7 linked regions of the Kluyveromyces lactis genome follow. The protein of the gene in region 3 purifies or fractionates together with the protein of the main gene of each other region. This does not show direct contact. Links are inferred from orthologs where the notes say so. Each region holds a gene or a part of one and is shown on either strand. Other genes may lie near its edges. The genes, in order: MRP2, RSM26, RSM22, MRPS5, MRPS16, RSM18 and MRP51.

Region 1 (3,633 bases), on a different chromosome or scaffold from region 3:
TCGAAGTTGACGGTCGTCGCGTAGAATTGGCGTTGTGGGATACTGCTGGCCAAGAAGATTATGATAGATTGAGACCACTTTCGTACCCAGATTCCAACGTTGTGTTAATCTGTTACTCAATTGATTTGCCAGATTCCTTAGAAAACGTGATGGAAAAATGGATCTCTGAAGTTTTACACTTTTGTCAAGGTGTTCCAATCATCTTGGTTGGTTGTAAAGCAGATTTGAGAAATGATCCTCAAGTTGTTGAAGAACTAAGAGCTCAAGGATTACAACCTGTGTCTCAGGCTCAAGCACAAGAAGTCGCTGACCAAATCGGTGCTGTTGACTACATCGAATGTTCTGCCAAGACCGGTTACGGTGTCAGAGAAGTCTTCGAGGCTGCTACAAGAGCTTCTTTGGTCGGTAAACAAGGTAAGAGCAAACCTAAGACTAAGTCTAGCAAAAAAAAGAAGTGTGTCGTCTTGTAAATAAAGACACGCACGCCCCAAACCCACTCTTCACCCCCTTATCTCCAACTTCATTTGAATTTACCTTGAAACAGAGGACTGAGCTTTGAGGATATTATTATTAGGCGATGGGAATTGTTTACAACCGTTAATTGGCAGAAGTAAAGATCCAAAAAAAAAGAAGAGGGAAGACGAACAAACCATATTCATTTGTTTCTAATTGATCAATTTTTAATATACAAATGTCAGCAATTAATTTCCGTTGAATTTCCTAATTTTTTCTCCTCGTTCTTTTCTTTGTTTCCATCTGGTTTCAAGTGACCATCCCTCCCTGACATTTTCTCTTCTACCTCTCTTCTGTTTTGTGTGTTTCTACCTATAAATTATTTTTATATACCTACACTCTTTTATTTTGTAAGAAACTTAAATATTATCACCACTATACTGCACTTTCTCATCTTATAAATGTCACTTGCTTTGCCACAACCCAAGCGCTTCTTTTACATTGATTAAACCTTGTATTTTTTAATGTCTATACACAAGCTTTATATATGTTGAGTTAATTAAAAATATTTACATGCATGCGGGAGAGAAAGATTCCAACTTTTACTAACCTCAGTATCAGGGAACAAAAGATGCTAAACTGCATCTACCATACACCCTTCTTCACACCAGGTAGATCACCTTTCCTGGCAAGTTCTCTGAATTGCGATCTACACAATCTGAAATCACTCAGAACAGATCTGGAGTGTCCCGTTTCAATACATCTGTTCTTGATTTGTGTCATTCTTGTATAGTTAGGCATCACAGAAAGTTGTAACTGAGCTTCCATTCTCGACCTTGGAGGTAGAGTAGTATTTCTAGCAATGAATTTCAATGCCTTTACAGTGACTTCATTGTCTGCAACTTGCTGTCTCTTGAAATTGTCTCTGATAACTCTAGCATTCAAATACGTTGAAGGAAGCTTTGTCTTGATTGGAAATCTGAAACCACCCATGTTGTTTATATCTACAGCCTTCCTTTGGATATACTAATTGCTAGGATAACTATCGAAATTAGTCTCACAGATACTGAATACGCCGAAAACCAAAGAATGCATCCACTAATGCTTGAACTTTATTCTTCATCTTCCGGAGAAGCTCCAAACTCGTTTTTTTCTCTTTCAAAGCTTGAAGTTCATATCATGTTAAACGTTCTTGATGGAGGTCACCTGACTATATTGGCACTATACACGTTATATAAGGAATGGAATGAACACAGCACCATGCCAATGGACTCCCAGTATCATGACTTCTTGATTTCAACTGTATCACCTCTTAGTTCTCTTGCCTTTCTAGCACTTGAATAAGCTCCTTGTTTGGATGTACCGTGTAATCCACTTCTGTAGACAGCCGAAACAATGTTGATCCCGCATACCACTCCGTCAATAATTGGCACTTCATAGCCATTCTGCTGTAAAGCGTTTGCAACAGCATTTTTCAAGTCGCTCATCCCTGCACAGCCCAAGATGATGGTGTCTGCGTGATATTCTTCTACTAAGGTCAAGGCAGTTTTAGACATTGTTTTATGAAGCTCAGCTTCTTCCACTTTGACCAAATCCGATACGGTTTTGATACCAGAACTTAACAATCCAACGCAAAATGTGGACATGCCAAGACCTGCTATGGTTTCCTCATCTCTTAACTGAGCCTTGTAAATTGATGCAAGAATACCGAATTTTGATCCAATGATCCTGGATGAGTACACGGCTGCTTCCACGATACCCATGCACACAACATCATCAAATTCTTCCCTGATAGATTTTATCAATGGATGGTCGCTAAAACATCCAACAAGTACACAATCGACTTGGTTTATTACATCGTAAGCATCTTCCATAACGGCAATTGCAGATTGAATACCATCGAGATGACCCTCAATCACATTGGGTGCCTTACCAAATGGTGCAGTGTACCCGTAAACCACAGTGTCTGGAGCTACATGACCAGCCAATATCTTTAAACAGGCATCGGTCATTGCTTGGGTTGAATTAGGGTTTACAAATAAGACCTTGATGAGCTCATCATCTGGTAAACTCTTCTTGTGCTTTACGAAAGGTAATTTAGACAACGACATCCTTGCTTGTTAGTGTCAGCTATGTTCTATGATTCAATATGTTAATCATCCTGGAATAATGAGCTACTTGACTCCTATCATACAGAGTTATATAAGTTTCTCTCTTTGGTTTATGTTGCTTTTCGTATCTGTCCGGACGCATGTTTTCAGAACCTTTGATTCATTTTTTCCCGGTTATCATAGTGTGAATCAGCCCAAAAACTTTAGGCTTTGACAGTCATGAGAATTGATGAGAGATTCAAGCTGGGGGTTTCTCTTCCAAGTTGCATGGGTAAGGTTCGCAACTGTTCATACACTTTCCACCTTAGTCGCAACATATATAATATGTACATTAAGTGACTAAAAATGTCACGTTGTGTATCTAAACTGAAACCATAAATAAAGCTAGATAAGAGATGCCGCATGCACAGTATACAACAGAAAAGATATATATATATATATATATATCAAACACATATCATTCTCTTTGTTTGAGATATTGTGCAAATCTGCTTGTCTCGTGAATCCCACATTCCGTCTTTGCCTTACCCTTCCACCTGCCTGATCTCTCATCCTCACCTTCTTGAACAGGTTGTGTAGAGTGATAATCACCAATCGACCGGTATCCTAGATCTAGCAATTCATTGTAAGGTACGTTATTATCACGGATATAACTTTGCACTTGGTTGAAGTCCCAGTTCGCTAGCGGGTTGATCTTGATGATATGATTGAATTCGTCCAATTCGATGAATTTCAGATTCGACCTTGCACCACCTTGACTCTTTCTTCTACCAGTGAATACAGCAGTCACTTGCAATTCCTTATAAGCTCTATGAGCAGGTTCCACCTTGACTAGGAAATCGTATTTATCATCGTCTGTATCCCATAAGAAATCACCGTATTTGGCAGCAAATTCTTGCTCCGAACCACAATCTTTCGGCTGATATACATTGACATTCTGTCCTCTTGGCTTGTAATACCGAGTTTCTACCACTTTCAAAAGCTCTAACGTCTGAGGGAAATGGTGCAATGTATCAATAAATATTAATGGAACGATTGGTTCTGTTTCATTTTGATTAATCTTAGAAAG
Region 2 (4,273 bases), about 910 kb from region 3:
TTAGCGATAGTAAGTTTTCTTGCTTATCTAGAAGATACAATAGTGAATCCTGATGTTACAGCTATAACAATACAGATTATTCAACAGGAAAAAAAAGTGGAAGAAGGGATATATTATTCTAAAACTCTTGAAACAAACCAATGCCTTATATACTTTTCAGTCGGCCCACTCATATCGCTATTCTTATCCCCTTGCTTTCTTCACCTGGCAATTTATTTTAGTCACAAGATCTACGCAATTTTTTCCCTCTCCATTGCAGCACTGTCATACCAAAAAAAAAAGATGAACATGACAATAATAGAAACAATCTTTGTCACAACAAATATCCACTTTAGTCCAATTAAGTAAAATCGAGAATAGTAAACAAAAAATGGAGTTGTACGCAGATACAGCAGAAACCCTCAAAATAGAAGCCGTCATCCCTCAAATGGCTCTTCCCAAACAATAAGCAAAATCTAATTATCCAGTCATTTCTTCCTGTTTCTGCGTAATTCCATACCCGCATTCGGTTTGGCCATATTAAAATGGAAGCCGGCTATTTTACAAACAACACCTACAAGGACATATGTTGCTTATACAATGGAGCTAAGTGGGCCGATCACAGATTGCTCCACCTCAGAACCTTCATTGACACTTTATGACAGGTTGGAACGGCTGAAACATGTAAAAAACAAGATTAGCTTGTTAAATTCATATCTGTAAACCTAGCAGTAACAATAAAAGCAAAACAAACAAATTTTTCCTATTTGAATTCCAATAATAGAAAAGTTAGTGGATTCAAGGTTCAAGAGCTCTTAAAACCGGCCAATGAAAACCGTCCCATGTCGATTACTAAAGTTGGCATAGATCACGTCAGATCTATTTTGATGCCCTTTGGGGATCTCTCGAAGGAGAAAATGGAAAAAAAAGACACATGCACCCATACACCACATCATTAGTAATTTCCATGATCTCTCTTTTGGTTTCCGTGGAGATTCCTGGAAAAGCGTCCGATGACGAATGTGAGATATATTGGGCACCACTCGTGACCGTATCTAAGGAGGAAGGGCGCAATTCTTAGTTGCATATTTTATTCACTTAAAAGTGACAAAATTAGGTCGGCTTCCTGTTTGTAATGTGTTCCGTTCTATCCTTCACTATCATATATGATAGCGTCGTTGTCAGTGCCTTCAGTTCCATGAGTTGCCACAATGTTGTCTGAATGAACGATTCGTGGTGTAAACTGGATTGATTGCGAAGAGTTTGGTGTTACGGGCTGACTGTGACTTTGAACATCTAATAGCATACGGCTCGGACTTGGCTCCGTGTATAAAACCCGTCTTCTCTTGTTTGGGGGAAGCACCGGTGCTGCGGCTACTGCAGCAGCAGCAGCTGTCGCACTTGAGGAAGTGTTCGTAGGAAGAAGATTGTCAGTGACAGCAGTTGTTGGGTTTTCTGCGACTATAGTTGTGTGACAGCTATAAAAGTTCCCAGATTCATTAGTCTTAACCCAAACCAGTTTATTCTTCGAGCCCACTGGCTGTTGATGTTGTACAACAAACTGCCGTGATACCTCGGGGATGATTCTTTTCTGGGAGTTAGGATTCTGCTTTTGTTCTGCATCCCAATTCCAGAACACACCGATCCTGCATCGAAGAAACACCTCCCAACGGGCATCTTTACTTCCAACGGCTGCATTTGCTACTAATCCACTCTTCAACACTTGCACGTGACGTTTCCGTTGAGATTTCACGAGGAAATTGCTAAAGGAACCATCTGAGTGGGTTCCGTTGCTGGGATCGTTGTATGAGACAACTGCATCGTCTGAATAGTCCTGGTAACCTGTGTTCATAGCGTCATTAAGTAATACCACCACCGTATTGTTTGAAGTGGCGTATTTAGTTATGGTGACAAGCAATTGTATCAAACTTTTCACCTTGAAATCGTGCAAGGTCTGTCGATGGTTAGAATATCCACTGTTCTTCTCGTACATATGGAGATACTCTACCAAAAGCTGAGATAAACCATCGATTATTATGAGCCCGTACGTCTCTTTTAAATTCTGAAACATGTACCACAGTTGAGCAAATTTCTTCACTCTTGCGAATTGGCACCCTTTGAAATGGACTTCGTCCTCATCTCCTTGCTCTATAAGCTTCAGTGGTACTTGCTGGAACGTGTCAATCCACAGACATTTCATCCTATTCTGATTATTGTTCACTAATTGTACCGCGAACTTTGTCTTGCCAATTCCTGGAGGTCCGTAAACCTCGTAGATACTCTGTGGTTGGAATCCGTCATTCAATGAATCGTCTAAACTCTCAATGCCACTTCGTACATGATCTGCACGCGCTTGTATCAGTTGAGACAAAGGTACACCAAATGACATTAGAATGCTATCAACTAATCACCAAACGCGTCCACAGTTTCTCCTGGTTCTTCAAGCCTTTCAAGACTATGTATAACTAGCCTTTTAAATCCGCATAATTCACCTTTAGGTGTAACTAAAAAATGTCATCAAGTCCGTAGACAACTCAGCTCAATAATGTTTGTTTTATTTACCAGGTTTTTGCTGTGATTATGTTATTCAAAAATATAAAATAAGAAAAGATAAGAGGGAGTAATAATACTTGAATTTAATCATTGAAAGAATTGAAATTAAAAACTCGAAGGTTCTTCCCACGAATCTCCTTGTCTACCTCTTGTCGGATTATATCCTACGGGTGTATCTTATTTGGACTTTATTGATTATTAGTCTAGTTCATTAAGCTAGAGAAGATAATGAGTTCCGGGTAACATTTCAAATCTTAAAATTTTTCTTAGCATTCAACATTGCCGAACAGGAAAAATTGAAATCATTTCGACTTGTATCAATTCATGAATCTAAAATGCATAACTAGAAAGTCTACTATTTCTTGCTCAATGCATCCTATTTACATTCTTCCTAGAGTTTCGGAACGATTGATATAATTGAGGCAACTAACTAAAAATATTTAATGTCAATGTTTGGGCGTCAACTGTTCAGAGGAATACACACAGTTCCAAAGATACCTGGTATTTCACAACTTTTGGATTCAGGCATCCCTCATGTTATGAGCGCTAACACATTCAAAACTTGCTGGGTTGACCAGCAGCAGCTTTTGTGCGATAAGCTAACACTGGCATCTGCAGGAACTGCCGCAGAATCCTACTTGCCATTCCATTTAGTACTGCACACTGCGAAGAAATCATACCAAACAAACATTTTCAATTTGGCTAGTGCTTTGCACAATAACCATTTGTTCATAGAAAACATATTGCCTATGGAACAAGTTACACATCCATCTCGTGAGTTTCTACAGAAGCTAGAATCACAATATTCAATGACTTGGGATGCTTTTAAGGATGAAATGGTTAGACATGCAGAAGAAGATGTGTTAGGTCAAGGATGGCTATTCCTTGTGGAAAATGATGCCAAGGAACTTCACATCCTAACAGTTCAAAATAATGGTACTCCATACTACTTTGCTAGAAACCAATCTTTCGATTTGAACAGTGCTCTATCCTTAGAAGAAATGGAACAGTTTGTAACGATGAGAGATCTACTTGCCGCAAATGCAGACGTTAAAGATTGGACAATGCCTTTGATTGCGATCAGTTTGTGGGACCATTCATACTTGAATGATTACGGTATTAAGGGCAGATCCACTTACGTAAGGAAGTGTTTAGATAACTTGAACTGGTCTGCGGTTAACAACAGATTGTTCTCCACACAATAGGAGTATACCAGTACTTCCAATCATAAATAGACTGTTGGCTCTCTTTAAAATATGGGTCTTAATTACATGTACATAGTCACAAATGCAATATAACCGTTTGCGAATAGCTCACAATCCTCTCTCATTATTAGCGTATCTCTGGTTGATATAGGCAAGAGCGGATAAGGTACGGAAAACGGTATTCAACTAAAACTTCAACATCAAGTATAAAATACTTCCAAAACTCTGAGGAACTTGAGAACTCGTCCTTGTTAGCTCAGTTGGTAGAGCGTTCGGCTTTTAAGCATTGCTCGCAAGGAACCGAAATGTCAGGGGTTCGAGCCCCCTATGAGGAGTTCTTATTTTTTCGTATTTGCAATAACCATCATAATATTCACTGGCCGGGAATGTTAGGTTTAGTACATTCTGTTAAATAAAATTCCTAGTAGGAAATAGGCACCTGGCGATGGATAATCAACTCTGTGACTGCTAAAAGCCGCTTATCGCTAATCTTTTGTTTTTCTTTCTTTCTTGAAGTGTTCTGATTTCTATTTACT
Region 3 (5,450 bases):
GATTGCCACTCTGAGGCCTGCGGATTTCCTCAGTATTCACAGTGGGTAAGGAAATCATGTTTTCGATAGTGTAAATTTTGAAATAGATTTGATACTTTTGATGAAGAGCATATTAGTTCTTAAAGTTTTTTAATACACTTTTATGGGTTAGCTTATACATTTTACTATTCATTAGAGAAGCTCACCAAGTACAAGCAAAAGTCCCAAGATGGTATGTGGTTAGGATCTACAGTGAATATATCGTTTGAGAATAAGGAATAGAGAGGTTAGCAGATAAATTAGAGATAGAATAAGAGGAATAATGGGAATATTAATAATAGAGAAACTCAGTTTAGAGAAGGAGAGAAAGAGATAATAAACCAAAGAAGAGTCCTGAACTCGTCTGTAATATGAAATAATGTTATGAAGGATGCTGGATATGGCCTCATGTTGAAATATGAATGTTTCCTTGCTCAAGGAGATAAGATGAAAGACAGACGGAGACAGAGGTTGTATGGGACTGTACAGGAAAAGAAGAAGAAATACGACCAGAGACGTTGTTCGGGCTGTCAGTACAGTGGATTTCTGAGATATTATACGAAGGAAACGCATTTTGGATGAGATGAAACTGTGTGTTCTCCATCAGTAAAAATATAATGAAAATACTATTCGCCTTCTCATTTCTTTTTATTGGGCGATATGTGATGCACAAATATATGGGTTGTCCATGTCAATTTGTTGACTGCCCGTATTTTCAATATGGAATAATTTTTTACTAACAATAACACATTCATGATGGCATTCTATGTCTATCGTATATCTTCTTTTAACAGGTTTTAGTTCAAGATTTGTTGCACCCAACCGCTGCTTCTGAAGCTAGAAAGCACAAGTTAAAGACTTTGGTTCAATCCCCAAGATCTCACTTCTTGGATGTCAAGTGCCCAGGTTGTTTGAACATCACTACTGTGTTCTCTCACGCTCAAACCGCTGTCACTTGTGAATCATGCTCTACCGTCTTGTGTACCCCAACCGGTGGTAAGGCCAAGTTGTCTGAAGGTACTTCTTTCAGAAGAAAATAGATTAATCACTTTCTATAGCACACCAATAATTTTAACATAAAACGTATTCATTCTGTTGTACAGTTACGAGTTGACTTCTCTTCTTTACACTGCTCTTTATGGTCCGTGGCGCCTGTTTTATTTGGCATGTCATTGACAATGTGATGCTGGTGTAGTATGGTATATGTATTTGGATGTAACCACATAGTAATATACTAGAACGTTATGTCTTCCCTTTAAAGCTAAAGTAAAATTCATATTTGAATTAAAATAAATAAATAAATATAATTGACCCAGTGTCTTTCTTTTATAATGGGATGTAGTTATTAGTTATTTACAAGAAATTGATTTGTTAACCCTCCGCTGGAAGATTTAATACTCATCCACTGCCAATTTCCGGTTGGCATATTTCTTCTCCTTCTTTGCATTCGATAACTGGAAATTGTGCTCATGGAATTTAGCTAACGTATCAACAGCTGATTCGGGATCCATATGTTCTCTTTCATTGTCTAATTGATTTGCCATGTCTTTCAATTCACGTGATTTTGATTTCACAGCTCTCTTCATCTTCTTGATCTTTTCCTTATGCAGTTTCTCAAATTTATTTACATTTAAGGCACCTCCGCCTGCTAGTTTCGTCTTTGCATCTAATGTCCACAAATCTCCCTTTTGAGTCTTTCTAGCATCGTGATATATCTGTTTGTCTAAGGATTTTGGGACAATCCACTTCTCAAATTTACCAGATGGTGCGCAGAGATCGAGAATCACATGTCCTTTTCTCTTAGTAGGTTGTTTAACGATTCTAGGCCACGTATTGGCAGTTTCATCTCCCAATGAGCCAATATCGTACTTAATCTTATTTTCTTCTCTTTCACGATTTATTGCTTCAGTCGTGGCTCGATCTTTTGAAGATCTTTGGGCAATCAAATATGAATAGTTTATAATCTCAAAACTCTTACCATTTCTTCTACCTGAGCCTGGTGCAGATTTCCCCTTGATACCGATACCATCAGTTGGAGTTTGCCATGGTGCAGCAAGCACTTTGCCCTTCTTTAATTCAATAGTAAATCTTGGCCTTAGTACAGTCTTTTGGAAATTACAGAAATTCAATTTCGAACCTTCATCTAAATCGTAATAATGAGGTTTCCCTATCTGTAATGGACATTTTCTATGGTGTGAACAAGGTGCAACGATCTTGATGAAATAACTTTCTTCATCACTAGATGTTCCTCTTTTGGAATCTTCCTTTTCAATGGCTTCAAGAAGTTCTGGTTCGAATTCTAAATCTTGTTTGTTTATTTCTCCATATTTGGCATCCAAGTTTTCCATTAACTGTTTATATTCGTCATCATTTATGTTTAAGGATTCAAGTGTGGGCTCTTCGTTCTCAACAGGCACTGAACGATAACTGGTTCTGCCCATCATCTTATTACCTCTATTCCAGGGTCTTGGAATCTTCCCGTGTTCTTCAGGATATTTTTCAGGTCTGATCATGAACTGTCTTGCCCTTGCAATAATCTCAAAACCCATTGGATTGCCCCTTTCTACTATAACTAGATGTCCGTTCGGGGAAAGAAGCTTCAAATAATGATCCAAGTTGTCATCGATTTGGGCTGGGAATCTTTCCTGGTGTCTTAAGAGCTGATGAGTTAGGATGATCAAATCGTATTCGTTGGAACCAGGAACATCTTTACGCAACCTCGTGTTAATATGAATACTCTTCGTAGCTACTTCTCCCAACATCTCGTCATCTCCTTCGATATTGTCAGCTTCTTCTTCTTTCGTTTCGACATTCTCAGTGGGCTCTTCTTCCCCGTATAACATGTCGTCTGGAATTTCATTCAATTGTCTACTCAAAATTATTTTTGCCCTCTTTTGCATCTCAATATGACCTATGATAGTGGCTTCTTTCACTCTGGGTCTGTACTCTTTTCCCATTAAATCGTTCAAAGCAACAATACCAGTGGCTGGCCCATAACCAACATCTAATACTCTTTGAGGATTGAAACTCTCCCCTACCCTTTTCTTAAGTTCTGATAAAGATTGATATATGGCAGCATAATTCTGCACAAAGATTGATGCGATATGAGAATCCACTTCGATGTTCGATGATGTAGGTCGATGAAGGGAGCTTTCGTATAACTCCACGAAATATTTGGATGCGGCTCTTCTTAGATTACCAGGTATATGTAGAGACATTATGTTGTTCTGGATTGCTTGACTCATCACAGACGGCAATTGGATCTGATCTCTCAATACCCGTCCTTCAAGAGTTTTGGGTAGAAGTCTTGCCTCCTCTGCATTTTCACCTTGTAAATGATTCCCATTTTGATCTCTGTAATCTCCTTTAACCTTATCCGAAAGCAAATGATCTCTCTCTATAACTATTGCGTTATCTTTCTGAGAGTCATCAACAACAGAACCAAAACTGGTTGGCGCATTATCTCTTGTAGATGCATCTAAATCATTAACGTTAATCGGGAAATCGGCCAGTGAAGAGTACCTTGACACAGGAATACGAGTGAATATTCGAGGGCTAAGCGTTCGACTGCAACGTAACATATTGGTAGCTTCTTGTCTGGGCTGGTGTCAGTCTATCTATGTTTCTCTATCCACTGAACGTCGCCATCTCATCGCATCTCCAACTGATTTCTCATACAAATTTACAGAATGGTTTTCAAATCTTTTTTTTTTTCTTTTAACTTTTCAGCCTGATAAATTTGTTAAACAGTTTAAAGTCAACATGGACATATAGAGACCCGGTGATTTCAGTTAGGGTTGCTAGTTCTGTGAGTTTCTGTTGCATCTGAAGACTGTTTCTAGGGGCTTGAACATCGAAACCGTAATATATATCGGCAATGTTGTCGACACCAATTTTACTAGCATGCATTATTGTTATGATCAGTGCAGCATTTGTGCTGATCGTACAAAAGACGAGTGCCAACGTGATTCCTGGTGCTTCTAAATACACCAATAGAGCGCCCACTTTCATCATTGCAGGCTTGCCGCAAACGGGGAAGACTGCATTGTTCAATTTGTTAACCACAGACTCGGTCAAACCATCGGTGATGTCACAAGAACCCAATGTGGCTGAAGACTACATGTTACCAACTAGTCATAAGAATTTCAAGTTTAAATTGATCGATTTCCCAGGACATGACAAGTTCCGTTCTGAGCTGCTCCAAACCATCAAGGATTCGAGTCAATTGAAAGGGCTCATTTATGTGATTGATTCTACTATTAATCCTAAGGAATTGGTCAGTACTGCAGAACTATTGTATGAAATATTATCTGTCACCGAATTAAGACCAGACGGAGTTGACATCTTGTTGGCATGCAATAAATCTGAGTCATTCGTGGCAAGACCTCCATCAAAGATCAAGGGTGCTTTGGAGAAGGAAATAACTGAAATCATGAAGAGAAAGGCCAAAAGTTTGAAGGCAAACTCGAAAAAGTCCTTGAGTGACGATGCTAATGACGATGATGACGATGAGGTTGCTGTTCTTCAACAAAACTCAGCCGGATTCGAATTCGATAGAATTGATGGGAATGTAGATGCTAAGGAGGGAAGCGTTTTGAAAAATGATATTGATAAGTGGGAATGCTGGATTGATGAACGTGCAATGAATTAGGCGATCTGCCTTGTTGCCTTTCAGGAATTTTTTTCCCATATTCATATATAGCACATTTAATAAAGCCATGTAATGAACTGTGAACGATTGCGATTTGTCATATCCTTTTCAGCCTTGTTGTTTGGTCATTGAATTTGAAGTTAAAGGTTAAGTATTGGTATGCGTTGGTTTGTCTCTTGTCTTCGGTACATCACTGCAATCATTCCATAACATTACAGCAACTGAGGTTCCAACGATTGAAGTTCCAAGTAGTAACAGTAATATAGGGATTCCAACTGCATATTGGCTAGATAATGGGAAAAGTGACACTTTTTGATCAAGATCAAATATAGGTAACAGTAACCAAACACAATAATAGATAAAGAGTGCTAAAATAATAGAAAAGGTCTTCATAGCTGCAGATATTAAAGTTCAAAATAAGAGCAAATGATCCTATTACAGTATGATATTGTTGCCATTCACTTCATTCAGTGGTAAAGATGCAATGTTGATCTCGAAGTCAGAAACTTTTAACACTACAAGGTGAGCGCGAAGTTCTCACACGGTATCCATTCAATTTTCCAACGACATAAATAAAGGTGGAGTAAATGATACGAGAGGAGGAGTCTGGTACTGTTCTAACTTCTTGTTGTCATAACAGTTGCTCGCGTGGCGTAATGGCAACGCGTCTGACTTCTAATCAGAAGATTGTGGGTTCGACCCCCACCGTGAGTGCTTTATTTTTAACCACTTTTTTTTAACTTAGAGAATGAAACCGCTACATCAGATCTAACATAACTGC
Region 4 (4,359 bases), on a different chromosome or scaffold from region 3:
AATATCAATATGTGTTTCTTTATCACATGAACTTCTTGGCATGTTTTAGCTTTTGCCTCTTTATTTCATCCTGTGACATAGCGGAACCACGACCACGTCTTAGTGCAATGATAAGGAAGATAGATGAAAGCAGAGATAACCCATACCAAGTAATTAAATATTGTAAATGATTATTCTTCAAATCAATCTTTGGTGCTTTACCAATAGGCACTCCCGCTTTAACGAATTGGAACTCGTTAAATTCCAATCCTGTCTCCGAATCTGCTGTATTTACTTTCTTCGTGTTGACGTGTGGTTTCTCGGATTCTTCTTGTTGTGGTTCTGTTTCGGTTTTCTTTTTAGACCAGAATTTCCAAGATGATTGGTTTTTGTTATCGATACCCTCAGATTTTGATTCTTCATCCCAATGGTGATCTTTCAGATCGTAAAGAGCTTGGTAATGAATAGGAGAAGTATGTGTCATCTCTGTCATATCCTTAATATCCAAGACTTGCCACAATCTACTCTCCCTGTCTTCCTTCTTCCATTGCATTGATGTCAAATCTTTAGCTGCACGCACTAACACTGTAATTGTCACGTTATCGCCTTGAGGTAAAGACAAATGTTGCAAGTTACGAGATGATGGAACGATTTTCTCCTCCGAGATCCAACCACGTTCAATCAAAATTCTTTCTCCCGTATCCTTTCTGATGAAAGGCGTATATAAAACGTACCCCTTGATCCCTCCTCTAACACGGGGGCCGACAAAAATCTCTTCATCATGCAAGAATCTACCGGTCATAGTACACTTGCGGTATTCCCAGTCTTCGCACATATCCGGTGTAAACGTTTTAGGTAACGGAATAGGATCGTAGGTTAATTTGTCTTCGCAGGAAGCAATTAGATTGGTTTTCCATTTCAATCTTCTTAATTGCCAGGTTCCTAAGTAGAACGAGATCACGGGCATGGCAATCATCAGTCCTAGAAAAATACGCTTACCCCATCGTGATTCCTTCTTTTGAAATCCTTCAGTAGGTGTCTTCTTTGTTTTGATAGGTTTCCAGTCAACAGTCGATGTCCTGACCGTGCTATAAAGTCGTCTTACCGGCCTTACCTTTGGTACAGTGAATGGCCTAGCCACAATGAAGCGAAACATATGCTTTGCTAATTGTGTGATACTAGTAGCTTCCGCTAAGAATTGAAATGCGTTTGAACAATTAGTAACAGCAAAGAAGTTAAAGCTTTTCTAATCATGTTTATACGCGATTAGATATACTACTCATCTGCTTTCATCATCTTCATTTTCCAATCTTTTAAAGATCAGAAAAGTGTGAAATATTCTAAAAGTCACGTGAAGAAGAATTTGGAACTCCGACGTTGTGGGGATATTAATATGTACAAGGTTACGTAGATCTGAGTATTGATTGTTTTATGAGAATGATCATCTAGGTCGTAATTGAATCATGTGAAGGTTGTTCAGATAGTTTCTTCATAGGAGAAAAAGTGAAAGTAATTTAAATATGGAGTTGGTTGAAATCAAGCAGAGTAATATACCTTCTTGACATCCACAATTTTCTTACCTCTACCTAGAGCAATTTCATCTATAGATTTTTGAGACTTGGTGATAGCGTCTATAGTACCCTTGGCTATGTTCATGATATTTCTACTCTTGTAAACTTTTGCACTTAAATCTTTGATACCAGCACATTCACAAATTTCATAAATTACGTGATTGACTCTTAGACCGAAACCTGGCTTAGCAGCTCTCAAGAATAGTTTCACACCGTGGTATCTATAGTCTATGTCTTCAAAAATAGTTCTTTTTTCAAATCTAGGCACTTCTTTTAAGTTCCTCACTGCATCCCAATGAGCTTTCTTGATGGATTCTGCCATATCTTCACGGGATTTACCCTCACCGATTCCTACCATACCATTCTTATCACCAACAACCACAAGAGAATAGAAGGATGGAATTTTACCTTTTGCAGTTTGATTAGAAACCATCTTTAAGATCAATGGTTTCATCACTAGTTTTCTGGCGATATGTTGAGCATCGAACCCCGTCTGTAGTTGGATATTATTGGCAATGTTTTGTATATCTGATCTGCCTTCAGTTTGTAAGTATGAACCCACAGGAGGAGTCAAATCTGGATGCTTTTCCATCTCTTGAACGAATACCGAAGATGAGCTTGAATGTAGATGTGGAGAGTTTGGTTTATAATCCCAATAAGGATGTAATGTGGCAAAGTTATCCAAATATGGTGGTGAGAATTCAACATTTGTCTGTGGTTTGAACTCTACATTGTCAGGAATTACTTTATCAGCTAAGGAAATAGACTTGAGTAGTTCTGGAGAGTAGTATTTCTTCAACAGGTCTTGTTGAAATACACGAGCAGTGCTCGAGAAACAACGGACGAACATTCTCAAATACGATCAGGGTTATTGAGAAAGACGCTGCAACTCACTATGTTGAATTTTGCTCCTCGACCTGTCTAAACCTGCTTCAAAAGACTTCTGGTGTCAATTATATTAGACCTTATTCTGGTGTATATGTCTGAGTATGTTGCCATTCTGTATTAACTATTGAAATTTTTTTAATTTTTGAAAATCGATCAATCGTTACAAATGAGAGAGCATTATTCTTGATCATGTGATTAGAAATTCACAATTCTTAGCTGAAGATCCACCCACTAAGGTATGGTAAGATTAGCAGTGGTTGCACATCTTTAAAATCTTCTTCAGACGTTCAAAGGAGGATACATGGAGTATGTTTCAGGTATGTTCCACGCATCTTTACCCTTACATGGTAGATGACACTATCATATGGAATGCTATCCGGGTAACATGTTTTTTTGTTTCATTTCTGAGTCTGTTTCATCCAATATTGAGCTCTGTCGCTTAAACAACGACTTACCTGCTTTAATAAAGCCGGTCACTAAAACATCTATATTAGTGGTTTAGTATCGCTATATACAATTTCCAGAGAAGATCTTTTTTCAAAACACTACATATTCTTCTGATACATAGTGGAGCAACATGTTTCAGCTGGCAATGTTATACACGGGCTTTGTTGTCATTAGAATCAATATTAGTACCATATCCTTTCAGTACCTTAAAGATGAAACATTCATATCACGAAGACTCTTCTTTTAGGTATATATTTTACTATGTTTTAAAACCCATTTAGAAAGATTCTTTATCTACAGGAAATAATGAACTAAATACAAATAGTATTTAGTTATGCAGGAACATGAAGACCAATAGAATAAAGATGATCTGGTGTCTTGCCCTGCATGAAGAGAGAGTAATCCCAAAATGCCTGAATTTTTGAAAAACTGCAGATGTTTTCTTTCTCAATTTTGGTCCGAGAATAAATTCATATGAGACATACCAATCCTGTTGGTTCTCTTTCCAAATGAAATCAACTCCACTTATCTGACAAGATTACCATATAAGTTACTCGTTAATTTATATAAAAATATTGGAACGAAATACTCGTTCACATGGATGGAGGTAGAATCTGAAATCAATTCGGAAGAAGTTATGTTTTCTGGAACCAATCCCTAGTGGCAATGCGACATCAATAGTGATTTACTTGTGCGTCATGTGAAAATTCCATGCCGCAGGTAGATTGACAAACTAATGCATTTACTAACGCTACCCAGCAGTGATATACATATGGTAAGAAAGGAAACCACCTGGCCTTGCAAGTTTTCTTTTCCTCTTATTTTTCCTGCCAATACGTGCAGTAGCATTCTCTTAATATTTTCTCTAATGCAGCGTTTTCGTTCTCTGACAAGAAGTAATGGTTCTAGCCAGATCTTCTTCCTCGCATGAAAAATAAAATGCTCGACAGATACCAGAAATGACCGTTCCGATTCCAGAACGTTACACATTCCTCTTCTCCGTCACTTTAAACTTTCATTGTTACCCGAATATTATTATCTAGGTATTTTTTTCAGTGTTATCTGCCGGATTTGAGAAGTACTTGTTGCGAATATACTTTTTGTAATGACAAACAGACGTTGAACAAAGCTGTCTGCTCTTCGCTGTTTAAATTTTATCAATGCGAAAGCATACTCATGATTGATCTGGGATCGTAGTTTGGTTGATTGGTCAAAATTGTAAATTCTACTGTACCCATAAACTATCATATAGTGTGTCGGGTAGCAATTCACGGTGTCAGATTTTTAGGATGAGACTTGGGAGAACACAATTGCTATCAAATCCTTTAACAGTCCTCCTGACCTCCTTTTTATAAACATTCAATGTGTGCTGCACATGTTAATATGCGTTACGCTCAACAATCAAGTAAAGTCAAGAAGTTTATTTTTTGCCAGGCGGAAATGTTCAGCCGCTCCTCGTGCATAAAACGGTTAG
Region 5 (3,824 bases), on a different chromosome or scaffold from region 3:
GTGACAATAGCGATTAAACATTGTGCTGCGCTAAAGTAGATATCTGGAATCTCACTTGATAGGTAAAATGATAAAGTTCTGAAAACTTCAGGAATCTTAACAAAACACTTTAATGGATCGTGAATCGCATATGTGCTGATACCTTTAGCGACGACTGCAATCCAGGCTGCTGCCAAATGTGTATCATTTTGGGATGGTTTTAATGAAAAAATGACATCAAGGGCTTTCATGAATTTATTCTCCGCTAAGCCAGATGAGACTGAAGACTCGGCCATAGACTGGAATAGAACCTCAAAACAGTTAAAAGAATTAGATACCAAAAATTGGTCCGAGGTTTTACAAACTTCCAATAGCAGATCACAGAGTTTTTCCACATGCGCAGTTGGCCATTGATTTGTTGATATTATATTGCTCAAAAGTTTCAAAATATGAATGATTTTGGAGTTCAATTCACTTGCACCTCCCATTGCTCTTAGCTTCTTATTGGAAATCGTTGCAGATTCATCAAGGATGGATACCAATGCATTAATAGCGAATGCTGAGATCAAAGGTGATGCGACGTGTTCTGCTGTTGGACCAGGTGGAGGGTTTTTTAGAATGTTGGTAATTGCATCCTGTGCTCTCTTCCTTACTTTTGGTCTTGGATCTAGAGATAGCTCAAGTAGACCATCCAAACCTCTTGTTGGAGTCACCTTTAAATTTTGAGTGTTATTCCACGTTTGCGTATCCTGGGCAATTAACAAAGCTTCTAAACAACCAAGAGCGGATTTGATCAAAGGAGCGTTAGCCTTTTCATCAGTAATACATGGGGCAACTTTAATCAAAATATCAGCAAACCTGCTCTTTAATATTTTCTTTGGTGTATAATGAAAAATGATGTCCAACAAATACATCGTTGATGTTGCTAATTGTAGATCTTTAATGGCCGCAGTTTCTGTATCGATAGTTTGATCCAGCAAGGACATCAAAGAAATAAGATAATTCACGATGTTCTTATTAATTGCCTCTTGCTCATTAATATTTTCTTCAATAGCAGCCAAGATTATGGCAATGTGCTTCTGATTCTCTAGTTTTGATGTAGATTGTCCTCTGATTTTAGCAAGCTTATCTTCAAGTTCAAGAAGCTTGGACGCTTGTTCAGGACCCATATTGCACAATTTGTTCGCTTGTCAGTTTTCAATCCCAAGTTAAACTCAGTAATTCTCTTTTCTGAGGTGTTGTTGATTATAACTCGTCTCTACTTGTTAGATGAGATGAGCGATGAGATGAGCTAGATTGAAAATTTTATACAGCTTGTGAAAAATTTCTTTTTAAGCCCTTAGTGATGAAGCAGCAAGGATCGTGAGGCAATGAAGAAAGCAGAGAATAAAAAGTAAATAAATTTTGGTTAATATATGCCAACTCTGTATATATGCGTCTGCTAAACGGGTTCAAGAACATACTATTTCATTATTTGTGTCGTTAACTTTCTTTACTGAATGCGATGTTATTTGTAATGCCAAGTCGTTTTATATGACTGCATTTTTGGTAAACTAATTCCCACCGTCAGTCTAACTCCAGTAAATAAACACTTTCTCACTTATAGATACTTTCTCATAGATCAACTTCCTATACTATTAGGCTGTAATGTCGCCATAAACGCCTAAGACGAATGTTGCTCATACGGCTGTTAGATATCCCACCTATATCACGTGATAGACATGCTTTATTTAGTTGGTGTTGAAAATCCTTCGAAAGATAGAAAAAAAAATTCAATCAACATTAAAAGCGTAATAACAGGACAAACATATTATGTATCAAGACGACCAGAGCGAGTAAACCAAGTCTCTTAAACCAGAATTTAACGCCAAGTTTGGTGAAATACAATAATCATGACGAAAGGTTTGGTGAGGATAAGACTAGCTAGATTCGGAAGGAAACATACCCCAGTATACAACATAGTTGTTACCAACAAACATAAGGCGTTGAATAGGAAACCAATTGAAGTATTAGGAACATACAACCCAATCCCAAAACCATTAACGAAGAAAGAGGTTAAACAAGGTGTTGTTCCTACTAAAGATGTGGAATTAGACTTCGGAAGAGCTAAATACTGGATCGGTGTTGGTGCTCAACCTAGTGATACGGTAACAAGACTATTGAGAAAAGCTGGAATCCTGGATGAAAATTGGGGAAAGACCTACACAAGTAGTAGGGTTGTTATTGAACCTAGGAAAGAAGTCTTTGAAGAATAGACCAGCTGTTCCGATTACTGTATTAAAAGCGGTATATCAATAATCAGGGCATAAATCACCATCTCCCAAGGCTTTCTTACGGTCAAGAACTCATGTATATAGGCTTAAATTGATAAGAGGAATTCGGGCACTTTTTCCGGTCATAAACCAATGTAGTAGTTACATACACTTAACAGCTTGGCCCCATGCGGTAAAATTGAAGTGATTAAATTTACATATCACCATATATAAGATGCTATCAGGTAATTCTACACAATAATAATAATCGTCATCAGCATATATTTCCCTGAATGAGGGAAGTATCATCGAGGAATACTGACTGTTAAACTATGTGATTTCCGAAAATTCATAAATATTAACAAAATTACAAGAACAAAAAGATGGTTTATGTTATGTTTTTGTGAATGAGTGAGTGAATGTCTAACTTCTCAAGTATTTAATAGGTATGTTTGGTGTAATGTTCAGGTTTGTATTGGAGATTAGTGCTCATGATGTTACATCGAGTCAAATTGTGTTCCAGTGCAACTATAAATTGGATTCATTTTCTATATGTGTGGGTAATCTATTGTTTCGTTCATCAGGCTGTTGACCAGCAGCAGCAGTATTTGTAGCATTTGAAGTTGAGTTCAAAAGAGTATTTACGCTTGCGGTTGATTGTGCTAGGAAAGATGATTGGGATGGGATAGAATTTGTTGGAGTAAGAAAGAAATGAGCATTACTAGAGGATCTTGACCTTGTTAGATTGGGAAGAGCAGGTGGCTGTACACCACTAATAGTATTTGACAATTGTGGGTGTATCTTGAACGAGTTACTTCTTGATCTACTAGCGGCTGTAATGAAACTATTGTTTCGTGACCTGACAAGAGCTTTTGGATTCTGAGGAGGAACTTGCGTAGTGCCTTGTGATAGTTGTAACGGTTGTTGCAACTGCTGCGACGATGGTCTAGATTCGAATGGCGAGTTCAAACCAGTGTAATAGTTCGTAGTAAAGGAAGAAGGTGGAGAATTTGTACTTTCGGCAGAATGACAATTGAAATAATCCTGTGGACTTTGCTGTAGCATATTGTTAGACATTCCTTCGTTTCCGAACTGAGGAACAGGAGGTAGTGATATGATAGAACTGTTTCTTGAAAGATAGTTTTCTTTCCGCACCTCTTTCAACAACCGCTGTCTCACTAAAGTCAACAACCACGAATTTCTCTCCAGACCGATATCAACTTGATCAGCATCAGCTGTTTCCACTGCTACTTTAGATACCCGGTGCAGAATCCCCGAAGGCGGGTTACTGCTATCGAATGGAGTGACTGTCGGATCTGAGCAGACCTGTAGGTAAACCTCCAATAATAAAGAGACAAACTGGGGGGTAAATGGTGCAGGAATAGAGCTGATATTATTGGCAGTAGAAGGTCTTCCATTTGAATATCCCAGTTCTGAAACAGAACTGGCAAGAGATGACATGCTTCCATGTCTGTTTGTATATATGTGAGGCGGCCCTGACTGATTTACAGGAGTCATAACTGGCGTAGAAACTTGTTGCTGTTGTTCTAGCACGTACCATGTAGATGCATCTGTATTCAAGTTCAGCTGCTT
Region 6 (3,976 bases), about 620 kb from region 3:
ATTATTCAATACACATATTAAAAATGATGAAAAGACTGTATCTTCCCATAACCGCCTTCATCGTAGGAATAATCATCGAAAACGGAGCAAAGAAATGACCGAGTTGAATTTCCAAGAACTCTATCATATTCGATCAAATATCCAGCATTTGATCCAAGATTATTCTTCGTATGAGATTCCAAAGATCGATTGGGCATTTCTTCTGCAATATCGTGGCCCGCTTCAGGATAATGAGAAGTATTTCCTCACGATTAAGACGTTGAACCTGTTATTGACGTTGACATGCCATAGATTGGCATCTCTACAAGAATTACCTTATATCGCTTTAGTGAACCCAAATATTGAACAATCTAATCGGCTTTATTTAAAAACTTTAGAATCACTTCTAAGCATTGAGTATCCATACGATCTGTATGACACAGATAAAATTCAAAATCTTACAGAGGAATTCTTGAATGATCACCAGGATACGTTACTTACGTTATCAAATGGGTTGCAGGAAGTGAGCCGTTTTTATGATCCAGAAAACATATTCAAGTTTTTGAATAAGCATTTACATGACAGAATATTGATGAAGTTGTTGACTACCAACTATTTGAAGCTCTTGGAACAGACTTCTTCCGATGAGGTCATTGGCGTCATCCATAAAGATTTGCATATATCTGACTTAGTTACAAGAACGAACGAATTTGTTAACGATTTGACATTTATCAAATACGATAAGACCGTTCCAGTGAAAATTATGGAAGGGTCTGATGTGAAATTTTCATATATACCTACGGATCTAGAATACGTCCTTCAAGAATTGCTTAAGAACAGCTCGAGAGCACATATTGAAAACAACGTTGACAAAGATGTGGAAGTAACAATAGTGAAAAACGACGATCAACTTGAGATCAGAATCAGAGACTTCGGAGGCGGTATAGATCCACAGGTAGAAGACCGAGTCTTTGATTATTCTTTTTCCACAACGGTGAAGGAAGAGAAGGACAGCGGTATGAGCGATTATGTTTTACCTGGTCAAGAAGTCCAAAACGTTGCAGGTATGGGATTCGGACTTCCAATGTGCAAAGCGTACCTAGAGTTGTTCAATGGTACACTTGACATTCAGTCATTGTGGGGATGGGGTACTGATGTTTATATACGATTGCACGGTCCATCGGATAGACTATTCGACAAATGAGAACACTGTACTATCATTCAGTCCCGGAGCTTTCCATTGCAACGTGTTTATACTGTTAGCGCTATTTACAGATATAATCCTATTTATTGAGAAACATATATTCATATATACAAGAAGTTATCACATGTCATGATTAGCTTCTGTTTGCAGTTCTTTGAGGAAGCACCGATATGTCTTTGTGAACCTTAGACATCAAACCTATTGCTTGGCATCTCTTAATAGCCTTTGTTAGACGACGCTGGTTCTTAGCCGATAAACCAGTTACATCTCTGTGTAATATTTTACCCGTTGATGTCACAAATCTTGACAAGAACTCTGGGTTGGTGTATAAATCAAGTGGATTGATCTTCAATTTGTTGAATGGGTCAAACGATCCAGGACGTACCCCAAACTTCTTATCTAAATGTATTCTTTCTAAGGAGAAATCAAATGGATTGTAAACGGAGCCCGGCTGAAAGTTTTTGATTAACTTGGATTCTAGCTTCTTGATTGTGGGCTTGCTATTAGCTTCCGACATACCTTCTTTCAGAAGTTTTTGGTCAAGACTGTTGCAGACATATCTTGTGGTAGAAAAGAATCTTGCGCAGCTGCGGGAAAACATTTCTTCTGATGTGTTTTAATTTATTCAATCTCTCGTTAACAGGCGTAGAAAGGCCCGAGCGACTTGGTTGTTTTCCTTCTCTTGCTTGCTTAATATTCATGTTATTGAATAAAATTTTCCATGTTGAAAAGATCTCTAAATTTCAAAAAAAAAGAGATTGAAATAAAGGATACTTAAGTCATTGCCAGGCATTCAACCTTTTTCCTGTTGTCAACCCAGTTTACGCAGATCAACCTTGGAGGTGTAGCGCGATTGATCGGAAAGCTCTTGCAGGAAGTCGGGCATCCCTGTGGATCAAACCCGGCGCGCTCCAGCACCTACAGGCCGATGCAATCGGCCTCCTATTCTTTGACCTGGCCAAAACTGATGATCCGTTTGCTGGGTACCGGCGACGGTACCGCTGAGCGCTGCTATGCCGGCAGTCAGGTTGGTTATAGCCAGCAAAATGGAGCCGAGTGCCTACCCAGGTCAGCGGTGCGTTGCGCTTGGTCACGTGTGAGATTTCGTGTGCCAGCATCGAGGCTAGCTGGCTTTCATTGTCGGTAACCTGCAGCAGTAATGGATCTTTGATCAGCGGCGCGCTGGCGCGCTGCTGCCGCACGTAGAAATCGCCCATAGCCAGCCGTGGGCCACAATCAAACGTTTACCCCAGCTTTTCGGCAGGGTCTTGATTCTTGGCTGGATCTGATGGGAATAATGAATCAGTAAATAACTGCGATTCTGAACTAATTCGAGGATTTTATCAATATTGGTGTGATTTCCAATGTAACATCAATTCATCTATTATCAGTCAGTGTTCTATCCGCTCTGGTGGTTATTCAGGTTAAGTAGGTTAACATATAAACGTAACAACAAATTAAAAAGCTGGAAAATATTACTACTTTTCCAGCTTTCAATCCATTAATCGTTAAATACAAAACTTTCTTCAGCTAGATTGTGGTCTTTTCTATAACTCTCGTCCAATATTAAATAATCATCTGGTTGTTTAGAGCTTACTCCTTTCAACCAAAACTGTTCACCGTAAGCTATCAGCATTGCCCAATGATACTCAAGTTCATGGCTACGAAGACATACTGCCAGATAACTATCAATGGGCTTACATACTAATGAAGACGATAAAACCATTAATTCAGCCTCATCTTCTTTTTTATTTGCATACTTAACGATAATTGCTTTAAGCATTTCTACCCAAGTATGGAAATTAAAAACAACTGTTTCTTCAGGATCATCTTCGTCTTTAAAAACAACTCCATCAACAATTTTATCCTTATTAATCATTATCGACAACCTCTAACTTTAAATCTATCAAACAGCGCAGCTGCTTTCTTTCTACAAATAGCAAGTTGTGTCTCTTTAGATCTAGGAATGGCGAGGGGGGGTTAATAATTCTATTAATTGTATCAATTCTAATAATGATTATATTTATAGTTATTTATACTCATATTATACTTCCGCGTCTCATTAATGTAATATTAATGAGGCGCGATTTGATTTTGATGAAATTAATTAAAAAAATAGAGAACTAAAATCAAGGCACAGACAAAGATAAGTACACGCAGAACCGCATCTATCTGGTGGACGTGAGCCAGGCAAATAATAAACTTATCGAGGTTTAAAGGAAGATTGGTATTGCCTATAATCTTAATAAAAAAAGAAGTTACAATTCAGAATCAAAATTTAATACAGTTTGTTAATATTCAGAAGTGCCTTAATTAAGTTAACGAATTATGTTTAGTAAACTATCATTGAATAACATAACTGATTCAATCAGTAATGCCGCACAGCGTACTCAGGAACAATTTTCCTCTGCCATTGAAAAGATCCACTTGGATGATCCTGAAACACGTTTGTCCATTTTGAAGCGTAGACACCAACTACAAGAAACTTTGGGAACAGTGCATGATATCAGTCAACTACCAATTCAGTATAAGTTTTTGGAACAAAAAAGTGATGCCTTAGAAAAGATTTGTAAGAGATTGTTATTGGTAACCAAAACTTTTGAAGTAGAAGGATATGATTACCCACCCAATTTAACAGAGTCATTTAACGATTGGTGGAGTGGGAATAAGGATTCCATTTTCTCTTTCAGTAAGAAAAAGGCGGAAGTTTCCCCTGAAGTGAAGGAAACTGCAGAGAATGGGTTATTGCCAAGATCATTTGCCCAGGCCTTGTCAAAAGCTGCTACTGATTCT
Region 7 (4,319 bases), on a different chromosome or scaffold from region 3:
TTTTCCAACCTCTCAGATCCCACAAGAACGAACAGTATCGATACTACAGCTGATGTTACTCTTCCCAAAAATGAGTTAAAACAGTCAATTAAACCGTTTCATGTTTTCATGATGTCTACTGCAACAGGTATTGGGACCGGTTTATTAGTGGGGAACGGTAGATCAATTGCTATTGCGGGGGTTGGTGGTACTTTAGTTGGTTACTTAATTATTGGTATTATGTTGACATGTTGCATGCAAACTGTTGGTGAGCTTGTTGTTGCTTTTCCAAGTATGCCTGGTGGGTTTACATCTTATGGAAAGCGTTTCATAGACCCGTCTGTGGGCTTTACCATTTCTTGGTTATTTTTTCTAAATTGGACTGTCGTTTTGCCATTAGAAATATGTGTCGCTTCTATGACTATCAACTTTTGGAACGAAAATATCAATCCTTCTATCGTTGTTGCATTATGTTATTCCTTGGTATGCGGGGTGAATTTCTTTGGTGCAAGGTGTTATGCGGACGCTGATTGCATTTTCAACTGTTTGAAAGTGCTTATGATCCTTGGGTTCATAATTTTAGGTATTTTCGTTAACACTGGTGTTGTCGGCACTAGCGGATATTTGGGTTTCAAATATTTCCATAGTCCAGGGTTCTTTAGAAACGATGAGGGGCTTTTCAAGTCAATTGCTGCAACGTTGATAACTGCCTGCTTTAGTACCGGTGGTACCGAGTTTGTCGCCTTGAGTTGTGCTGAACAGAATACAGAAGACATGCCAAGAAGTATTAAAAGGGCGTCAATACAAGTTGTTGTACGAATTGCCATCATTTTTTGCGTTTCTTTGATGATTATTGGATTATTAGTGCCCTTTAATTCCCCATATTTGATGGGGTCTGGATCAGAACTGACCCATGCATCTCCATATGTGGTCGCATTAACAACCAATGGTGTTAGGATAATACCTCATATTGTTAATGCAATTATTCTATTGTCTATTATTTCTGTCGCAAACAATGCGATGTATAGTAGCTCAAGAACATTACATTCCTTAGCTGAACAAGGATTTGCGATGAAATATTTTTGTAAATTGGATGAAAGTGGTAAGCCGTTTAGATGTCTTTGCGTTTCAGCATTTACTGGTTTATTTTCATTCATAGCCGAATATAAGGACCAGGAAACAGTCTTCGTTTGGTTATTGTCAATCAGCGGTCTTTCCACTATCTTTACTTGGAGTATGACCTGTGTGTCTCATTTGAGATTCAGAAAGGCAATGAAAGATCAAGATCAAGCTTTAGACCAATTAGGATATCAATCACCATGTGGTGTATATGGCAGTTACATCTCGTTGTTTATTTGTGCCATTATTTTGATAGTACAATTTTGGGTATCATTGTTTCCTTTAGAATCCAACGGTAGGCTGAATGTCGTCTCATTCCTTCAAAATTATATGGCTGTTCCAATTACCATCGTACTTTACCTTGGTCATAAAGCTTACACAGGGAACTGGAAACCTTTTATTAGAGCACCTGAGATTGACATTCAGACCGATCGTGACATCTACTGTGTTGATGAGGTTACTGGAAAAAAATCAGTTTTTGTTGAGCTTCTGGATAGCGGAGACATGTGCTCGAAACTATCTGATAACCTTGTCAAGTAGTACAAACATTTCTACGAAACTGAGGTTCTCATACAGTATCGACTAAACCAAGGAACTGTTGATATGAAATTATTACGAAAAAATGAATAGTTTTCTGTAGTAAACAATATAATAAATAATGCAATTGAAAAAAAAATTTAAACTCAACACCGATTTCTGATTATGGGAAACCCCTCATAGAAGACTTATGTTATACTGGTGCTGATCTCGTTTTAAATATTAGCATCACTTAAGAAACCATTCTTCCTTTAAAATGAGTACTAAATGTGACACTTTCATCAATGGTCTGTCGCAAGTCCGGGTAAAATGTTACGTTTCTAATGATAAAAAAATTTCGATATCATTGAATAGCATTCAATTCGATAAATCTTAAACACAGCTCAGCTACTGATTTTGACTGAAGAGCTAAATTAGTTCCTATCGTCGACTATTGTGACAAGGTTCCAAAACTATCAGCAATTCGTTGAATAGATAATTCACTTTTTGGGTTTAAACTGGGCTGTTAGTCCTTAGCTTGAAGACAGATATACTTACTGAATTCACAATTCGAAATAGAAAGCTATGTCCCATATATCTAATTTGTTAAAAAATTCCAGGATAGCACAAGTGGCAAAGACGGACAAGCCATTGTTTCGTCCAGGTAACTCTTCTCATCCAACTCATCAAGTGATTGAGACCAAGCCATCCTCCTTATATCGTCAGGAATGGGGTTTGAAGGCAAGCATTCCATCGAAAATCAAGACCAGATATTTGGTTTACAACGATTTGGACACCCAACAAAGACTAACGACTTTTGAACCAATGGGTCAATACCAGTGGAACAGAATCAGATTCCAAGAAATGGGGTTAGCCCCTCGTTACGTTGAAGAAGAATCCAATCCTCTATTCAATGGGAAAACCAAGAGGGCCGGAAAATACGCGCCATTCAGCAATGCTGTGAACATTGCTCATAACACTGCGCCTTCTGAAAAGACAAGAAAGTTGAAAGAAATTGACCAACACAGATCAGAATTCAAGAAGTGGCTGTTAGAGAAACACCCGGATTCCATTGCTGGTGTTAGAAATGAAAACACCAGACCTTTGAAGGCTTTAGCTACTGAATTCTTACATGAAAAGATGGGAAAGTTGAATATTAATACAGCAGCTAACTCGGAGTGGCACATTGTGGGCACCGGTGGTCTAACTTACAACTTGAAAGGTAGACTTAGACAATCTCCAAATGGTGTAAAACAAAAGCACGTTGTGCCAGGCAGAGTTTTATCTGTCCAGGGACCTGATCGCGCAGTCGCTGTTGGTGGTTTCATCGCTGAAGCTAAATCTGTGGGCCGTAATCCTCGTGCTCTACAATACAACATGGGTGATTTTGTCAGACAAGAAGTTTTACCATTTGCCATTGAAGATCCAAAGGTAGAAGGGGGTAATGTAACATTGTCTGCATCTTTAGTAGAACCAAGAAATGACTTCAGTTTTGCTCAGAAGATCGGCTTAGGTCAAAGCAGATCACATTATACCAGATCCGATTCCAGAAACTCTTCAAGAAAAACTGTAAGATCTGTCACCGCCGAAGAATCTAGATCTCAAAGTGAAGAGTTCCTAAACTTATTAAAGACAACCATGTAAGTTGATATATGGTAGGTATTACACAACCATAGCTAGAAGTCACTTGTAAATAAAACGTAATAAATACAGTCATGTTACGCGGAAGACGGAGCTGTGCGTCAAGCGGTTAAGGGCCGTGCTCGTAACTTAAATGGAACAAAATGGATGAATATATATTTGATGTAAACTTAAAATGAATGTCGCGCATATGCAATGAGAGTCCACTCCTTTCTTGAAAAGGAATTTTACATTAGAACACCCTTAGTAGAAGGAACGTCGTTGGTTCCGTTGCTTGAAATAGCCTCTTTGATTGCAATGGCAAGTGCTTTGAATGCAGATTCACTTCTGTGATGGTCGTTAAAGCCTCTCAAACAATCAACGTGCAAAGTTATTCTCGCGGCTTCAGCAAAGGACTCCAAGAAATGAGGTATCATCTCGCATGAAAGGTCACCGATCTTTTCCCTCTTCAACCCCAACTCTATTACTGCGTATGGTCTATTGGATAGATCCACAACAGCACGTGATAAAGCTTCGTCTAATGGTGCATATCCTGAACCAAATCTTTTCACACCACGAACATGACCCAAAGCTTCCTTAAAGGCTTGGCCAAGAGCAATACCACAATCCTCGGTGGTATGATGGTCATCGATATGCAAATCTCCAATACATTCAACAATCAAAGACCAGCCTGAATGCTTCGCAAGAGCATGAATCATGTGATCTAAAAACCCAACGCCTGTCTGAATATCAATGATTTGGGATCCAGTTACCTGCTTAGCAGCATCGGATTCCTCCCTTTGTAAAATAGAGTTCTCAATAGAAATTGGTCCACCATTCAATGAAATGGCAATTTGAATCTTGGTTTCATTCGTTATTCTAGAAACAAAAGCTTTTCTTTCCGGATAAGTCATTTTTGGTTGACAGTTCTTTCTCGAGGAATTCTTACAAAATGTGCCAAATATGAACGATGGTAGCAACTTTTAGGCTTCTTATAAGTACACAAACTAATGTTGAGGCCAGTTACTTTCTTTCTTCTTCCAATATACCTTTACGCTTCTGTCAATCTACTACGATAAAGAAAT

Evidence for each region.
Region 1: the proteins of RSM22 (region 3) and MRP2 purify together in Saccharomyces cerevisiae (affinity purification with mass spectrometry; 3 studies listed by BioGRID, with this or other methods). This does not show direct contact. The link is inferred for Kluyveromyces lactis from reciprocal best matches to the Saccharomyces cerevisiae genes RSM22 and MRP2.
Region 2: the proteins of RSM22 (region 3) and RSM26 purify together in Saccharomyces cerevisiae (affinity purification with mass spectrometry; 3 studies listed by BioGRID, with this or other methods). This does not show direct contact. The link is inferred for Kluyveromyces lactis from reciprocal best matches to the Saccharomyces cerevisiae genes RSM22 and RSM26.
Region 4: the proteins of RSM22 (region 3) and MRPS5 purify together in Saccharomyces cerevisiae (affinity purification with mass spectrometry; 7 studies listed by BioGRID, with this or other methods). This does not show direct contact. The link is inferred for Kluyveromyces lactis from reciprocal best matches to the Saccharomyces cerevisiae genes RSM22 and MRPS5.
Region 5: the proteins of RSM22 (region 3) and MRPS16 purify together in Saccharomyces cerevisiae (affinity purification with mass spectrometry; 3 studies listed by BioGRID). This does not show direct contact. The link is inferred for Kluyveromyces lactis from reciprocal best matches to the Saccharomyces cerevisiae genes RSM22 and MRPS16.
Region 6: the proteins of RSM22 (region 3) and RSM18 purify together in Saccharomyces cerevisiae (affinity purification with mass spectrometry; 3 studies listed by BioGRID, with this or other methods). This does not show direct contact. The link is inferred for Kluyveromyces lactis from reciprocal best matches to the Saccharomyces cerevisiae genes RSM22 and RSM18.
Region 7: the proteins of RSM22 (region 3) and MRP51 purify together in Saccharomyces cerevisiae (affinity purification with mass spectrometry; 3 studies listed by BioGRID, with this or other methods). This does not show direct contact. The link is inferred for Kluyveromyces lactis from reciprocal best matches to the Saccharomyces cerevisiae genes RSM22 and MRP51.

What each region holds. Positions count from the first base shown.
Region 1 is NC_006038.1:936,654-940,286, forward strand, and holds MRP2 (mitochondrial 37S ribosomal protein uS14m), read right to left. Parts: upstream 1,447-3,633; coding exon 1,099-1,446; downstream 1-1,098. Other genes in the region: Rho family GTPase RHO1, read left to right, coding at 1-470; DCG1 (Dcg1p), read right to left, coding at 1,734-2,564; MET16 (phosphoadenylyl-sulfate reductase (thioredoxin)), read right to left, coding at 3,022-3,633. UniProt on the Saccharomyces cerevisiae protein: Component of the mitochondrial ribosome (mitoribosome), a dedicated translation machinery responsible for the synthesis of mitochondrial genome-encoded proteins, including at least some of the essential transmembrane subunits of the mitochondrial respiratory chain.
Region 2 is NC_006041.1:116,837-121,109, forward strand, and holds RSM26 (mitochondrial 37S ribosomal protein mS42), read left to right. Parts: upstream 1-2,975; coding exon 2,976-3,737; downstream 3,738-4,273. Other genes in the region: putative DNA-dependent ATPase RAD55, read right to left, coding at 1,127-2,368. UniProt on the Saccharomyces cerevisiae protein: Component of the mitochondrial ribosome (mitoribosome), a dedicated translation machinery responsible for the synthesis of mitochondrial genome-encoded proteins, including at least some of the essential transmembrane subunits of the mitochondrial respiratory chain.
Region 3 is NC_006041.1:1,030,466-1,035,915, forward strand, and holds RSM22 (tRNA methyltransferase RSM22), read right to left. Parts: upstream 3,600-5,450; coding exon 1,410-3,599; downstream 1-1,409. Other genes in the region: KLLA0_E11661g (40S ribosomal protein eS27), read left to right, coding at 209-211, 813-1,058; SRP102 (Signal recognition particle receptor subunit beta), read left to right, coding at 3,896-4,669; KLLA0_E11727g (uncharacterized protein), read right to left, coding at 4,817-5,062. UniProt on the Saccharomyces cerevisiae protein: Mitochondrial ribosome (mitoribosome) assembly factor. Binds at the interface of the head and body domains of the mitochondrial small ribosomal subunit (mt-SSU), occluding the mRNA channel and preventing compaction of the head domain towards the body.
Region 4 is NC_006038.1:1,001,293-1,005,651, forward strand, and holds MRPS5 (mitochondrial 37S ribosomal protein uS5m), read right to left. Parts: upstream 2,401-4,359; coding exon 1,516-2,400; downstream 1-1,515. Other genes in the region: cytochrome oxidase assembly protein SHY1, read right to left, coding at 23-1,135. UniProt on the Saccharomyces cerevisiae protein: Component of the mitochondrial ribosome (mitoribosome), a dedicated translation machinery responsible for the synthesis of mitochondrial genome-encoded proteins, including at least some of the essential transmembrane subunits of the mitochondrial respiratory chain.
Region 5 is NC_006042.1:2,518,106-2,521,929, reverse strand, and holds MRPS16 (mitochondrial 37S ribosomal protein bS16m), read left to right. Parts: upstream 1-1,871; coding exon 1,872-2,234; downstream 2,235-3,824. Other genes in the region: mRNA-binding protein RRP12, read right to left, coding at 1-1,148; CIP1 (Cip1p), read right to left, coding at 2,760-3,824. UniProt on the Saccharomyces cerevisiae protein: Component of the mitochondrial ribosome (mitoribosome), a dedicated translation machinery responsible for the synthesis of mitochondrial genome-encoded proteins, including at least some of the essential transmembrane subunits of the mitochondrial respiratory chain.
Region 6 is NC_006041.1:408,498-412,473, forward strand, and holds RSM18 (mitochondrial 37S ribosomal protein bS18m), read right to left. Parts: upstream 1,785-3,976; coding exon 1,317-1,784; downstream 1-1,316. Other genes in the region: protein kinase PKP1, read left to right, coding at 1-1,183; KLLA0_E04577g (uncharacterized protein), read right to left, coding at 2,014-2,400; KLLA0_E04599g (uncharacterized protein), read right to left, coding at 2,685-3,062; KLLA0_E04621g (uncharacterized protein), read left to right, coding at 3,512-3,976. UniProt on the Saccharomyces cerevisiae protein: Component of the mitochondrial ribosome (mitoribosome), a dedicated translation machinery responsible for the synthesis of mitochondrial genome-encoded proteins, including at least some of the essential transmembrane subunits of the mitochondrial respiratory chain.
Region 7 is NC_006042.1:88,091-92,409, reverse strand, and holds MRP51 (mitochondrial 37S ribosomal protein bS1m), read left to right. Parts: upstream 1-2,199; coding exon 2,200-3,258; downstream 3,259-4,319. Other genes in the region: KLLA0_F01012g (uncharacterized protein), read left to right, coding at 1-1,638; imidazoleglycerol-phosphate dehydratase HIS3, read right to left, coding at 3,483-4,148. UniProt on the Saccharomyces cerevisiae protein: Component of the mitochondrial ribosome (mitoribosome), a dedicated translation machinery responsible for the synthesis of mitochondrial genome-encoded proteins, including at least some of the essential transmembrane subunits of the mitochondrial respiratory chain.